2 linked regions of the Drosophila melanogaster genome follow. Changing the gene in region 1 together with any one later gene gives a genetic interaction. Each region holds a gene or a part of one and is shown in the gene's direction. Other genes may lie near its edges.

The links. A genetic interaction does not mean that the proteins touch.
Region 2: of yata (region 1) and hig, changing one suppresses a phenotype caused by changing the other (phenotypic suppression), as found in Drosophila melanogaster (one study listed by BioGRID).

What each region holds. Positions count from the first base shown.
Region 1 is NT_033777.3:29,747,467-29,755,037, forward strand, and holds yata (yata), read left to right. Parts: upstream 1-1,752; 5' UTR 1,753-2,324; coding exon 2,325-2,702; intron 2,703-2,761; coding exon 2,762-2,985; intron 2,986-3,045; coding exon 3,046-3,451; intron 3,452-3,514; coding exon 3,515-4,157; intron 4,158-4,227; coding exon 4,228-4,392; intron 4,393-4,457; coding exon 4,458-4,603; intron 4,604-4,672; coding exon 4,673-4,801; intron 4,802-4,862; coding exon 4,863-5,265; intron 5,266-5,363; coding exon 5,364-5,491; 3' UTR 5,492-7,062; downstream 7,063-7,571. Other genes in the region: ATPsyngamma (ATP synthase, gamma subunit), read right to left, coding at 388-1,281.
Region 2 is NT_033778.4:9,244,234-9,248,946, reverse strand, and holds the start of hig (hikaru genki), read left to right. Parts: upstream 1-1,697; 5' UTR 1,698-2,052; coding exon 2,053-2,182; intron 2,183-4,536; exon of another isoform or gene 4,537-4,615; coding exon of another isoform or gene 4,616-4,713. Other genes in the region: Cyp4p3 (cytochrome P450 4p3), read right to left, coding at 4,616-4,713.

The sequences.
Region 1 (7,571 bases):
CCAATTTCTGAAAGTTTAAAGAGTATCAAAATATACATAAACGTTCCAATAGTTTTTTGGTCATTAGTCATTGCCACTTGAAATTTGAGACTTTATGCACATTAAGTTATATCAATGGGTCTTTGCATAAGAATGCAATCGAATCCCATGATATCAATGTGTAAAAACCAAACAGACCTGTGCAAGTGCTTTCAAATTCCTTGCCTCCCACTCCAATTAGGTAAGGACTCCATGGTTAAAGTTATTTTCGTTCGTTCCACGCTATTTATTCTGGGGTTTTTCTGAAAGAGTAACATTACTAGGGCTCCAGGCGTAGCTCCAGGTGCCTGGCACCATATGCAATTAGCTGTATGAATCGTTAGAGCTGTTCGAACACATTCCATTCGCTTATGTGAGGGCGGCGGCACCGGAGATGATTTCAATCAGCTCGCGAGTGATGACCGCCTGTCGGGTACGGTTGAAGGTGAGGGTCAGCTTGTCGATCATCTCACCGGCGTTCTTGGAAGCGTTGTCCATGGCAGTCATACGGGAGGACTGCTCCGAGCAGGCGCCCTCCTTCATGGTGTAGAAGATGAGCGAGGCCAGCGAGAACTCCAGATAGCTCTTGACCACGTCGCTGTCGAGCGAGTCGTAGACGGCCAGCTTCTCCGACTTCTCCACGGTGGATCCGCTGAAGATGGGGAGGGTGGAGCACTGGTAGGACACCACCGACTTGAAACGGTTGTACACGATCTTGCCCTCGGTGTAATCGTAACCGGTCTGCAGAACCTCGTTGGCAATCTTCGAGGCGTCCAGGAAAGTGGGGGGCAGTCGGCCCACCTCGTTGGCCACCATCAGGATGTTCTTGCCGTACAGACGGGACAGAATCGCGCGCGACTTGTCGCCCACGCAGAACACCTTAGTGTTGGCCTCGTCCTGGGCCAGTTCGCCGCGAATGAGACGGGCCACACCAGTGTGGACGGCACCGCAAAGACCACGGTCCGAAGTCACTGCGATGAGCAGCTTCTTGGGCTCCGCCTTCTCGTCCGGCTGGATCTCCGTCTTCTCGAAGAACTGCTGGGCGCCGATGCCGTAAGGACGAGCCGCCTTCAAGTCTCGCTCGGCACGAGCGTACTTGGCAGCGGACACCATCTTCATCGATTGCGTAATTTTCTGAATGTTCTTCACCGACTTCAGGCGGATGGAAATCATCTTCAGGGTGGCCATGCCACGCTGCTGCTGGGCCAGCATGGTGGCCTCCATGGCCAGGGGCAGCAGGAGCTGGGTGCGTTGCATCATCATCCTGTGAGTTGTCGAAGATTCCCTGTCGCGAAAATTAGCTCGATTCACTCGGCAAAAATTGAGAAAATTCACCTACCTTGCGTTAAGTTGGCTGCGCCACAACGAGTGTTATAACACCGAGCAGAGTTGCCACCCAGTTCGGGTTAACGCGGTGGCGATTCGTGGTGAACGGTAAAATATTATATTAAATAATTTATTTTAATTATGGAAATTTCGGATAATGGATTTGTGCTACATATAACTATTAATATTGGATAAAATACAAAACTTCTTTGGAAAGCTTCAGAATGCACAATAAAGCTTGAAATTAATTTGAATTTATGTAACTCATAATTATGACAATAGAGTTAAAAACAGAATAATAATTGATAAGGATTAAGAGGTTTGCCAAAGATGCCAGCTTGTTTTCTACCCTCGACCAGAGTTTTCCTTCTCCTTGCCAGCTCTGTTTTGGAATCAGCTGCTCACGCACGAGCCACGAAGTTCCGTCACTAACGCCTCACGCAAAAAAAAGCTGACGTACTCGGGAAAAAGATTAGGATAATTCGACGGAGACGAGCGCCCGATCCGATCTACTGACTCCCCCGACCCGCAGCAGAGCCACATAGACACGATCGCCCTGTCCAGGACACCCGGGATCCCAGGGATGAGACCTCTGGGGACGAAAAACAGCGGATAAGTTAGCTGTGTGCGTGTGTGTGTGCGTAAGCAAAGCTGGAAAATTGTTGCTGCGCATCGGAGGAAAATAAAGGACATCAGGCGGCTGGATTGGCATGAGGAGGATAGGGCTCAAGCCAAGGCTAAAGACAGAGGCATAGTGCTTGAGGATAAACCGAGAATCGGGGCTCCACCGATTTCAGTGCCTTTGTGTGGCAGCAACAAGGTGTGCGTGTGTGTGAGTGCGTGCGTGCGTGTGTGCGTGCGTGTGTTGCCTGCGCAGTGCGTTGTTGTTGCAGTTGCAATCGCCAGTTGTTGCTGTTGTTGTTGCTGTTGCTGTGTGACACAACAGTAACAAAATATTGAGCCGCCGAGCAAAACACATAATGTGGTCGTTCTTCTCGCGCGACTCCTCGAAAGACTTCCCCTACGACATTGGCGAACCGGTGGGCGGCTTTGACCAATACTCCATATGGACGCTGCACAAGGCCAAGCGCAAGACGACGCTGGAGGAGGTGTCTGTGTTCGTCTACGACATCCGTAGCGGATCCGACACCAAGTGCGAGCTGGCCAAGGCGGCGCTGAAGCGCCTCAAGACATTGCGTCACCCCAGCATCCTGCAGTATCTGGACTCGCTGGAAACGGACAAGATGTTGTACGTGGCCACCGAGGCGGTGGATCCGCTGGGCACTTACTTTTCCAAGCTGGGCAGCGACAATGTCCAAAAGGGCCTCTACCTGGCCTGGGGCATCTTCCAGATCACTGTGGGTATCCATATCCCTGATATTTTGCCCTAGCTAACCAAGTCACCAATCCCTTTCAGCGCGCCCTGTCCTTTCTCAACAACGATGGCAATCTGCGACACAACAATGTTTCCGCCTGGTCGGTGTTTGTCAATGCCTCCGGCGAATGGAAACTGGGCAGCCTGGAGTACGTCTCAGCGGCGGATGGTAATCCCATGCCGCCCGCCAAAATACCTGTGACCCTGGAGGTCTACGATTCCCCCGAAAAGAACGATCCGAGCAAGCTCAAGGCGGCCACCAAATGGTACGTAATCCTCTCACCTTAGACTATTTTAATAATCCTTCAAATCGGATTCTCTACCAGCTCCGTGGACATGTGGGGCCTGGGCTGCCTCGTGTGGGAAGCTTTCAACGGTGTGCTCAAGCAACGCTCCAACCTCAAGGATATAGAACACATACCCAAGTCCCTGCAATCGCTCTATTGTGAGCTGGTTGGCGCCTCGCCTTCGAATCGTCCCAACCCGGCGGATATAATCACACGTTGCCGCAAGCCTGGAGGCTTTTTCAAAAACGATTTGGTGGACACACTGCTCTTCCTAGAGGAGATCCAAATCAAGGACAAGGCGGAGAAGAATCGCTTCTTCAGTGGTCTGACCACGCATCTCGACAACTTTCCGGACAACGTGTGCAGGCATAAGATTCTTCCACAGCTGATAACAGCCTACGAGTACGGAGATGCGGGCTCTGCCGTGCTGGCTCCCATGTTTAAGGTTGTCTATTGAATTGGCATACTCCTATATGACTTGATTTCACAAAGAGTTATAATCTTGCAGCTGGGCAAACTGCTGGACGAGGTGGAGTACCAGAAACGCATTGTGCCCTGCGTGGTCAAACTGTTCGCTTCCACGGATCGAGTGACGCGATCGCGCCTGCTGCAGCAGCTGGATCTGTTCATCGCGCACTTGCAGCCACAGGTGGTCAACGATCAGATTTTCCCACAGGTGGCTCACGGGTTCCTAGACACCAACGCCACCATACGTGAGCAGACGGTCAAGTCGATTATCCACTTGGCGCCCAAGCTCAACTACAACAACCTGAATGTGGAGGTCCTGCGTCACTTTGCCAGGCTGCAGGCGCGGGATGACCAAGGTGGAATTCGCACCAATACGACGGTCTGTCTGGGCAAGATTGCGCCGCATTTGCATCCGCAGGTGCGTCAGCGTGTGCTGGTCTCCGCTTTCATTCGTGCCATGCGGGATCCTTTTCCGCCGGCAAGAGTCGCCGGTGTCCTGGCGCTGGCCGCCACACAGCAGTACTTTTTGCTCAGCGAGGTGGCCAACCGCGTTCTGCCATCACTGTGTTCCCTCACCGTTGATCCGGAGAAGACGGTGCGCGATCCGGCGTTCAAAACTATCAGAGGCTTCTTGGGCAAACTGGAGAAGGTCTCCGAGGATCCCAGTTTGCGGGAAACGATGGGTGAGTACTTTACAATATTGTTAATTAATGAAATCCTAACTAGGTTACTAATCAAATATTTCGTTCGCAGAGGCGGATGTTCACACGGCCACGCCTTCGATTGGCAATGCGGCGGCCACATGGGCGGGATGGGCGGTGACGGCCGTCACAGCAAAGTTCTATCGCAGCCAAAGTGATTCGTCTCGACCACGACCGCCTTTAACTGGACGCAATCTGTCCAAGCCAGCGTCGCTTGGTAAGTATTCGCCTCGCTTATGCAATTACCACAATGCAATTAACCCGGCCTGCATTTGCGAGCAGAACAACCATCGAGCAGCAGTTTATCGACCACCACGAGCAGTGTTACCTCAATGACGTCGCTGGAGCATGAAAGCAATGACACCTCCGCCTCGGCCTCCGATTATGGCAACAACGATTGGGACAACGAAAACTGGGGCGAAATGGATGTAAGTAGTGGTGTTCGAATCGACTGGCTTTTGAATGCTGCTAATTATGCTCGATTATTTTAATTTTAGACCTCTCAGGATCCCAGCAGTCCGCTGGCGGCCAGCTCCAATAATGGCGCCTTGATGGCAGCCAATGCCTTGAGCGAAGTGCGCGACGGCTGGGACAACGAGGAGTGGGGCAGTCTCGAGGAGGATCCGGTGAGATCTGATCAAACTAACTAACTCAAACTTGTTACTAACTCAATTGGGTGGGTTTCAGTGCGAGGAGGAGGAGCAGGCGGAGCAGGAGCAGCAGCAACAACAGCTGGCTAGACAATCGATATCATCCACGTCATCCAGTCAGCCAAATCAGCGCCCGCTGCTGCCACATCAGCAGCAGTATCCACATCAGCAGCAGCTGCAGCAGCACGAGCTAAACGATCTGATCGAGCCGCTGGCCAAGCTCAACTCGCACGTCACCTCGCCGTCGAAGCAGTCGATGCTCCGGCCAAAGGAGCTGCCCAATCTATCCAGCAGCAACACATCGCCCACGTCGGCCACTGCCAATTGCAATAACATTAGCCCGCCTTCGTCGCATTTGAATAATTCGACGCATAATGCCAATTGGAATAGCGATTCGTGGGCCGACGGGGAGTTTGAGCCACTGGATGAATCGGGATTCGGTGAGTTCCTCACGCTAACATGCCTATTGCCATATCAGATTTCCCTTCTGGCGACCCACTTGGTGAATCGACCCACTAACGAAACCGATACTTTTCAGGCAATGCCAAACTGGACGAGGCCCGACGCAAGCGGGAGGAGAAGAAGCTGCAGCGGCAGCGGGAGTTGGAGGCGCGACGGGCCCAGCGGGCGAGCGGCCCCATGAAGCTGGGCGCCAAAAAGCTTTAAAAGTAATCAGCCGATAACAGCGACGTGTGTTGCTTAGCTGTTATTCGCATCGTACATCTAAGCCCAAAGTGTATTTTGTATATTTCCGTGCGTGTGTGTCTTGTCCCGGCCCCGATTTGTCCAATTTGTCCCATTGGTCCCATTTGCCCCATTTGGCCCATTTGGCCGCTCTGTGTGTGCTTTGTGTTTGTATTGGGTGCCAGTTTGCATTAAATGCAATCTCAGTGTCTCGAGCCTCCATTTCGATTCCGTAAAATATAGCCGTTTTGTATTTCTAATGCTGGCACGATATTAGCTAATATATTCAGCGTCTCTAACGAAAATTCCAATGTAAAGCACTGTAATTAAACCTGTAATTTATATTTATAAACCAACCAGTAGCTAGTAAATTACTTCAAATTTATACCCTAATTAATCGACTAAATAAGCGTGATTGTCAGAGTGACAGGATTGAGAGTCGGGGACTCAATCGATATCAGCGAGGAGTGGATACGAGGTCCTTTTCCAATCCCACTATCAATGAGCGAATGGATATGGATGTGCGTGTGTCTGATTTCAAAACCCATTTTAGTCGCCCCTTTCCAAAGGCTAACACTTGATGGATGGATGGATGCCAATCCACGCGATTTTCGAGGGACAGTGAATATTTAGAAATCTAAACTAAACGTATTTTTGCGAATGGAGCGTAACCAAAATTGTGAATTTTAATACATAAATGATAGCAGATATTTTTATATAGTGCATAATAAAGGGGAAACGAAAACGATATAGAACCAACCAAATAGAAACAACCGAAATCGAAACAACCGCAAGCAATTATAAAAGGAAACAATTTTAAAGCCTTTCAGCGATACATTTGTAGTAGAATTGCACTTGTTATATTACATAGATGTCCTACGTTGCCATAAATAGGAACGATCAGGAATCGATGTCCTCCCGGTCGGTTCGCTGCGGCAACTGGCCCACTTTCCGTTGGACACTCCTCGATTTTTACCCAGTAAGAACAGCACCAAGCGCAAGGCCATTTTTGCATGTCGAACTAGTAGCGTTACCTAGCGTAATCTTACACTTTTGGATGTCCTGTACATACACTTAGATACAGATACAGATACAGATACGGATGCAAGTGCATATGCAGATACAGATATACATATACCTAACATATATGCCGATTTTTTCCAATACCTCAATATCAGTGTACAATTTTTCCATAATATATTTTTGAAATACAAACGAAACTAATAACCCGCAGCGAGGAAATACGATGTGAAAATGTTGACTTTTTAAAAATCTCATTGTTGTCGCCGCGTCTGTTTGCATTTGGAGCAAACGCCACACATACATATGTATATTTGTAATTAATGCAACTCTCGATTCCAATATGCCACGCCTACCCCGCGTTCCGCCCTCCCCGCCACCAACCACACCTATTGGCATTCATTTTCTTATAGCAAATTCTCTCAGCAAATTTAACATTAGCGTAACGAACTATTCAAAAAACTCATTGAAAAATAAACAAGAAATTGAAGCAACATGGAAAATGTATTGTTTAGACAAATTTTTAAGACTGCAAAAGTGAAAAACAAGAAAAACCAAAAATCAATTGAAAGTGGTAATGGTAAATTACAAGAAAACTAAATTATTTAGTACTAATCATCAGTAAAATAAATTTTGAAATAATAACCATGTTCTTCTCTTCGGAAATCCCAATGCTAACGCAACAAGTGGTAAGTGGAAATCCAAATGGCTCAAATGGATGGATGCACTCTCCAGCTTTTCGCACACATCTGATCAATTGGATAAATATATATGTAAATATACGTATTTAATGGCCAAATGCCATCTGTTTTGGCAAATGTTTCCGATGGCCACGCGATAATTGCAACAATGCAAACGCAAGTCTTTGTTTATTACTGGCAGTTTGCAGTTGGCGCAGCTGCTTTTTGCAGTTTTTTCGAGGACAGTTCACATGGGTAGATGGGGATATCATAAAAAATCCAAATAGATTGCTAGAAAAAGGGGAAAAAATATATATAATATTGAACTTTGATAAAAGCACTGGTGACATCACTTTTAAATG
Region 2 (4,713 bases), on another chromosome or scaffold:
CCAGTAAGTAATTGTCTTGATTAAATAATTTAATCTGCTAAATGCAGGCATTTTAATCTAGAAAAGCTGCGACCATGTCAGGTGCACGCACTTCATTGGCACCCAGGAAATCATTGGTTATTAGCCTTCGGCCCGTCGGCATCGAATTGAGTTGGAATACCAGAGATGTAATTTCAGCCTGCGGTTGCAGGGCAGCAAATTGAATTTTGCTGTAAAGCCGCTCGTTGCCAGGAGGCAGGATAAACATGCTAAACGTATAAATTTTCAGCCTGATTGCATTCCAAAGTTTCGGGCCACTAGGACGGCATGCCAGAAACTATACACAAAAGATAATGCCGCTGCACAATTGGATTGCCAGCTGAGGGGGAGAATGCAGCACACAAACATTCATTTTCCACTCGACTGGAGTTGAGCGCGTTTCGCATTCGCATTCGCATTTGGTATTTCGCATTTCAGCAAAATTTCAATGCGACAGACAAGAGCGACCCAGACGGTATTGTTACGGTTACGCTTTAGGACCAGGACTAACCTGAACCTCCAATGAGTGACATTTATCTTGCGAGGACAACAAGGGGCGTCCTGTCGGAGCATTCATTTGCGTAATTAGTGGCCAAGTGGCATCCGCAACCTGGTTGCCAAATGCCAAATGCCATTTGGCTTCGGTCGCAGAGCAGAGGCCTCAAAATCACCGCAACTGCTGCTTGATTATTGGCCAGGACCAAAAGGAATGGCCAGCAGACAGGCGACGTCAGCACAATTGATAGCATACTTCTCAGGGCAGCGGCAGCTGAGGAGCAGCAAAGGTGAGTCCCTTGCCGAGCACTTGGCTCCACTGCACTCCTTAGCCACAATAGAATGTACCCACTTTGAATTTGTAGTAAACACGGAAGCACACTTTTGAATTTATAAACATATAATTAGCTACAAAAAAATTGCATTTAGTTGCTAAGCTTACCGCCAAGTAAAAATCATAAAATTTAAACTTTAGCAGTTATTGCCAATGTATCCAAAAATGTAATTCTCATATTTATCTCCTACATACAATATTTCAATTAAATAATTATAGTCGTCTAGTTATTGTACCTTATGTGCTCATGTTTTCGGGCTATATAAATCGCAGTTTTAAGCCAATAACATTTTCAGCAACGATTTCCCCTAGTGAATTAGGAAATAGTAATTGATTTTATGCGATTGATTCACTGCTGCACCAGTAAAAAGTATCTGCCTGAACTAAGGAAGTATAATTAAATTAGTTTTAAACTGGAAAGTAACCGAATCAACGTGGCAAGCAAGCGGAAAACTTCATTTGTAGCTGGGAATTGGCCACGTGGGTGGGCGGTGTTCCTTGGTTGGTTCGGGGGGGAGTGGGAAAAAGGAGAGCTACGTGAGAGTTACAAGGGCACGCACGCAGACACACGGGCACAGCGAAAAGCGAAAGCAGCGAGAGAGGAAAATCGGAGATGACGAAAAACAGCAACAGCAACGGCAATGGCAACAGCGACTAAGCAAAACATGGGCCAAACCAAAACAAAAACACACGATTTGCCGGCAAAATGCACGTGACACATCCTTTGGCGAGCTTCGTCGAGTGCGATCCTTCGTCGAGTGCCGAATGCAGCCGATTGCAGCCGAACGAAGCAGAGCCGAAGCTGCGCAGAATCCAACGAGAGGTATAAAAGCGAGACGCTCGCCGCACTCGTGGCATTCGATTGTCGTCGCTCGAGAGGATAGGTGCCCAGCTTCGAAAAGGATAAAACCCCGCAAAGGACTCTAAGTAAAAGTGAAACTTTAAAGCCAAAGAGCACACACACATACACATACACGCGCACACGTTGCATACAGTTTGGCGCGAGTGTGGGTTACTGCTGGCGGTACGCCAGTGTGTGTGTGTGAGTTGGCCAAGTGGATTTCTATTTTTGGCCCATTAAGAAGTCAACTCGTGAAGTGCAGTGGTGTTAAATTCGTTGCTATTTGAAAGGACTCATCGGGTTGCTTAACAAACGAAAACAAAACAACGCCGAAACTCTGGCAATCGCAATCTGATCCTTGGACATGTGGAGCAGGCAGCGAATGCGCCATAAGCCGCTTTGGGCCCTAATATCCTTGACCGTTTTGCTGCTGGTCCTGGACAAAAGCAATGCCAACACGGAGCCCGTCGAGACCAGCACCACATCCGAGCCAGGTGAGTCCTAATTGCCCCGCACACACGTGGGCTCCTCCGTTTGACCTTCACTCACTGGACGGACGAAAAGCGTAAATAAATTATGACGGGCCGCCTCGAACTCGGTCACTTTATTAAATGGCCTTCCACGCATCCATGGAAATCGGACAGTTCACAGCTTCCAGCTCCCAGCGATTATCACACACGCTCGAACAAAAAGGATATAAATCCGGAGTAGAAATGAATTCGTAACCGGGAGGGGAAGCTACAGAGCGCAAGAGCAAATAACTGGCAGCAAATGAAATATTTCACGGCATCTGCGGCACAAAGGCAATCAAAGCGAGCCGAGAGCCCATGGGCAACCTTAATCCCAATCAGAGTCAACAAACAAGCAAGGGCATCGCGAAAACGGGGCACTGCGGAAAATATTTGGCAACAAATTTTTAGGTTGCTTTTCATATTAAATTATAAAAGACATGCTTATAAGGTGCAAGGATAATGGCTTTTATTATGAATCATTCAAAGCAAGACATCATGAAGTCTTTAAAGTTAGTTTTCAAACGCAATCACAAACATTATTTTTCAGTAAGAATAAAGAAAAACATGATTGTCATGTATGACAAATCGAAATAAATTTTCGTATAGCATTCACATAAATATTTAAAATCATTATGTATTTCACACCTTGTAAAATAATTATTTAACCTTTATTTCGAGCGTATTATGATAATTTATTAGGTAAGAATTTAATGATAAATTTAGTTATTTTTGATCAAATATATTTTCAATTACATATGTATATTTATACATTATAAATTATGATTACTGAACATTTTGAACATGTGAAATCATTAATAAGGCGCAAACTTAATGCATACTTTTGATTGTTAGACCTTTGCTCCTAAATCTCAACGAAACTTAATTCCGCTGGCAGTCACCAATAATTTCTCTCAGTGCACTAGGGGAAGGGGAGCTGAAAGGTAGCTCGGGCAAGCGGCAATTGCACGAAAGTCCGTAATGAAGTATGGCAGGCAGGCCGTCCGAGGCTGGTAATAGAAATTAATAGCGTCATGTGTGAGTTTTGCGAAAGGGAAGGAAGACTTTGGACGGGGGAATGGGTGGATGTGGGGTACAAGGGACAAGGGAAGTGGGAAAAAGGATACAGGGGAAGTGTAAAGTGCCCGACAGCGACACGCAGATGCGCATAAAGTAATTAATTCACTCTGCCTCCATCGGCATCGCCATCGCCATCGCCATCCCTCCAGTCGGTTGCCTTCTAATTTCCCCTGGCAAATCGACAGGACCAGCTGTTGAGCTGCTGAGCTTTTGGGGTTTCGTCCTTCAGTCAGGCAAAAGTGCGTCGCACTTATCTTCTTTTTTTTTCTTTTGTGGCGGATATTGCGACTTCTTATTTCGCCTTTTGGTGCGCAGTTTGGCAGTCAGTCAGGTGAGAGGGGTGCCGATTCTTAGATTTTCTGAGATCCAAACGTTCGCTTGACACATGTGAAAGCGAGGGAAATTTAATTTACATGACTCACAAATGGAATCCATTTAATGTTGACTTATGGCGACGAAGCACTAGCGCACAGAGCACTAATGAAATATGCAGTAGCCGAGTAGCAGCTAAAACCAGAGCTGCCTTTCACCCATTTCCATGTGCTGTCCCATAAATCCTGGGTCCCCAGGATGGATGATGATGTTGGAACGAGTTGGGCGCACACTAAAAAATATGCGTTTACGATAATTATTTTCAATAGTAGAGTAGTAGTAAGCCACATATAAAAGAGAAGCTAACTAAAAATATCCCTTCGAAACATGATATAAATATTTCATAAAATAAATAGGAAGCCAAAGATAGATGGAACTTATTTCAGTGCACCACACACAGTGCATTTTGCGAGCCCATGGTCACCCATGTCTTTTTGCCACATTTTATGTGCTTAGAACAAAGCTGAGTCTGCATTATGCATGCAAATGGTATAACTGAGTAACGAACTGTCAAAATCGCAGTTAAAGCAAAAAGGAGTCGTTGGGAAAGGGATGTAGCCTCGGCAGGAGGAGGAAAACCAAATGACAAAAAGTCGCCAGCGCATTATGCATTTGCATTCCCATATATGTGAGCTAAAGGACAGAGATTACTTGACTTTTCCTGGGCTGCCTCAAAAATAATAGGAGGGGTAGGAAATGACAGGGAGCTCCCACTGTGTGGGAAATGGGAGTTGGAATTGTAATAGCTGCTGGAAAAGAAGAAGAGAAGTGCTTCTACCCGCCAGGGCATGAATGATTTATAGGGCGGCAGCTGTCGAGATGCCAACGATTATCGGCCATAAGCTAGTCACAGGACATTTTTGCACCAAGAGAAAGAAGAAAGGAGTCTTTGGATGAAACTATTGTTCACTGTGCACTTTATGACTAACAGAGTTCCGTGAACAATTCCATTCCGTTAAAGCTGCCTCATTTTCTTCTCACGAGCTTCACGTGAATCTGGTTCTTGGTCCGCAGTGTTAGTCCAGTTTGAAAAACAATAGTTTTCGGATCGATTTCTGGTAGAA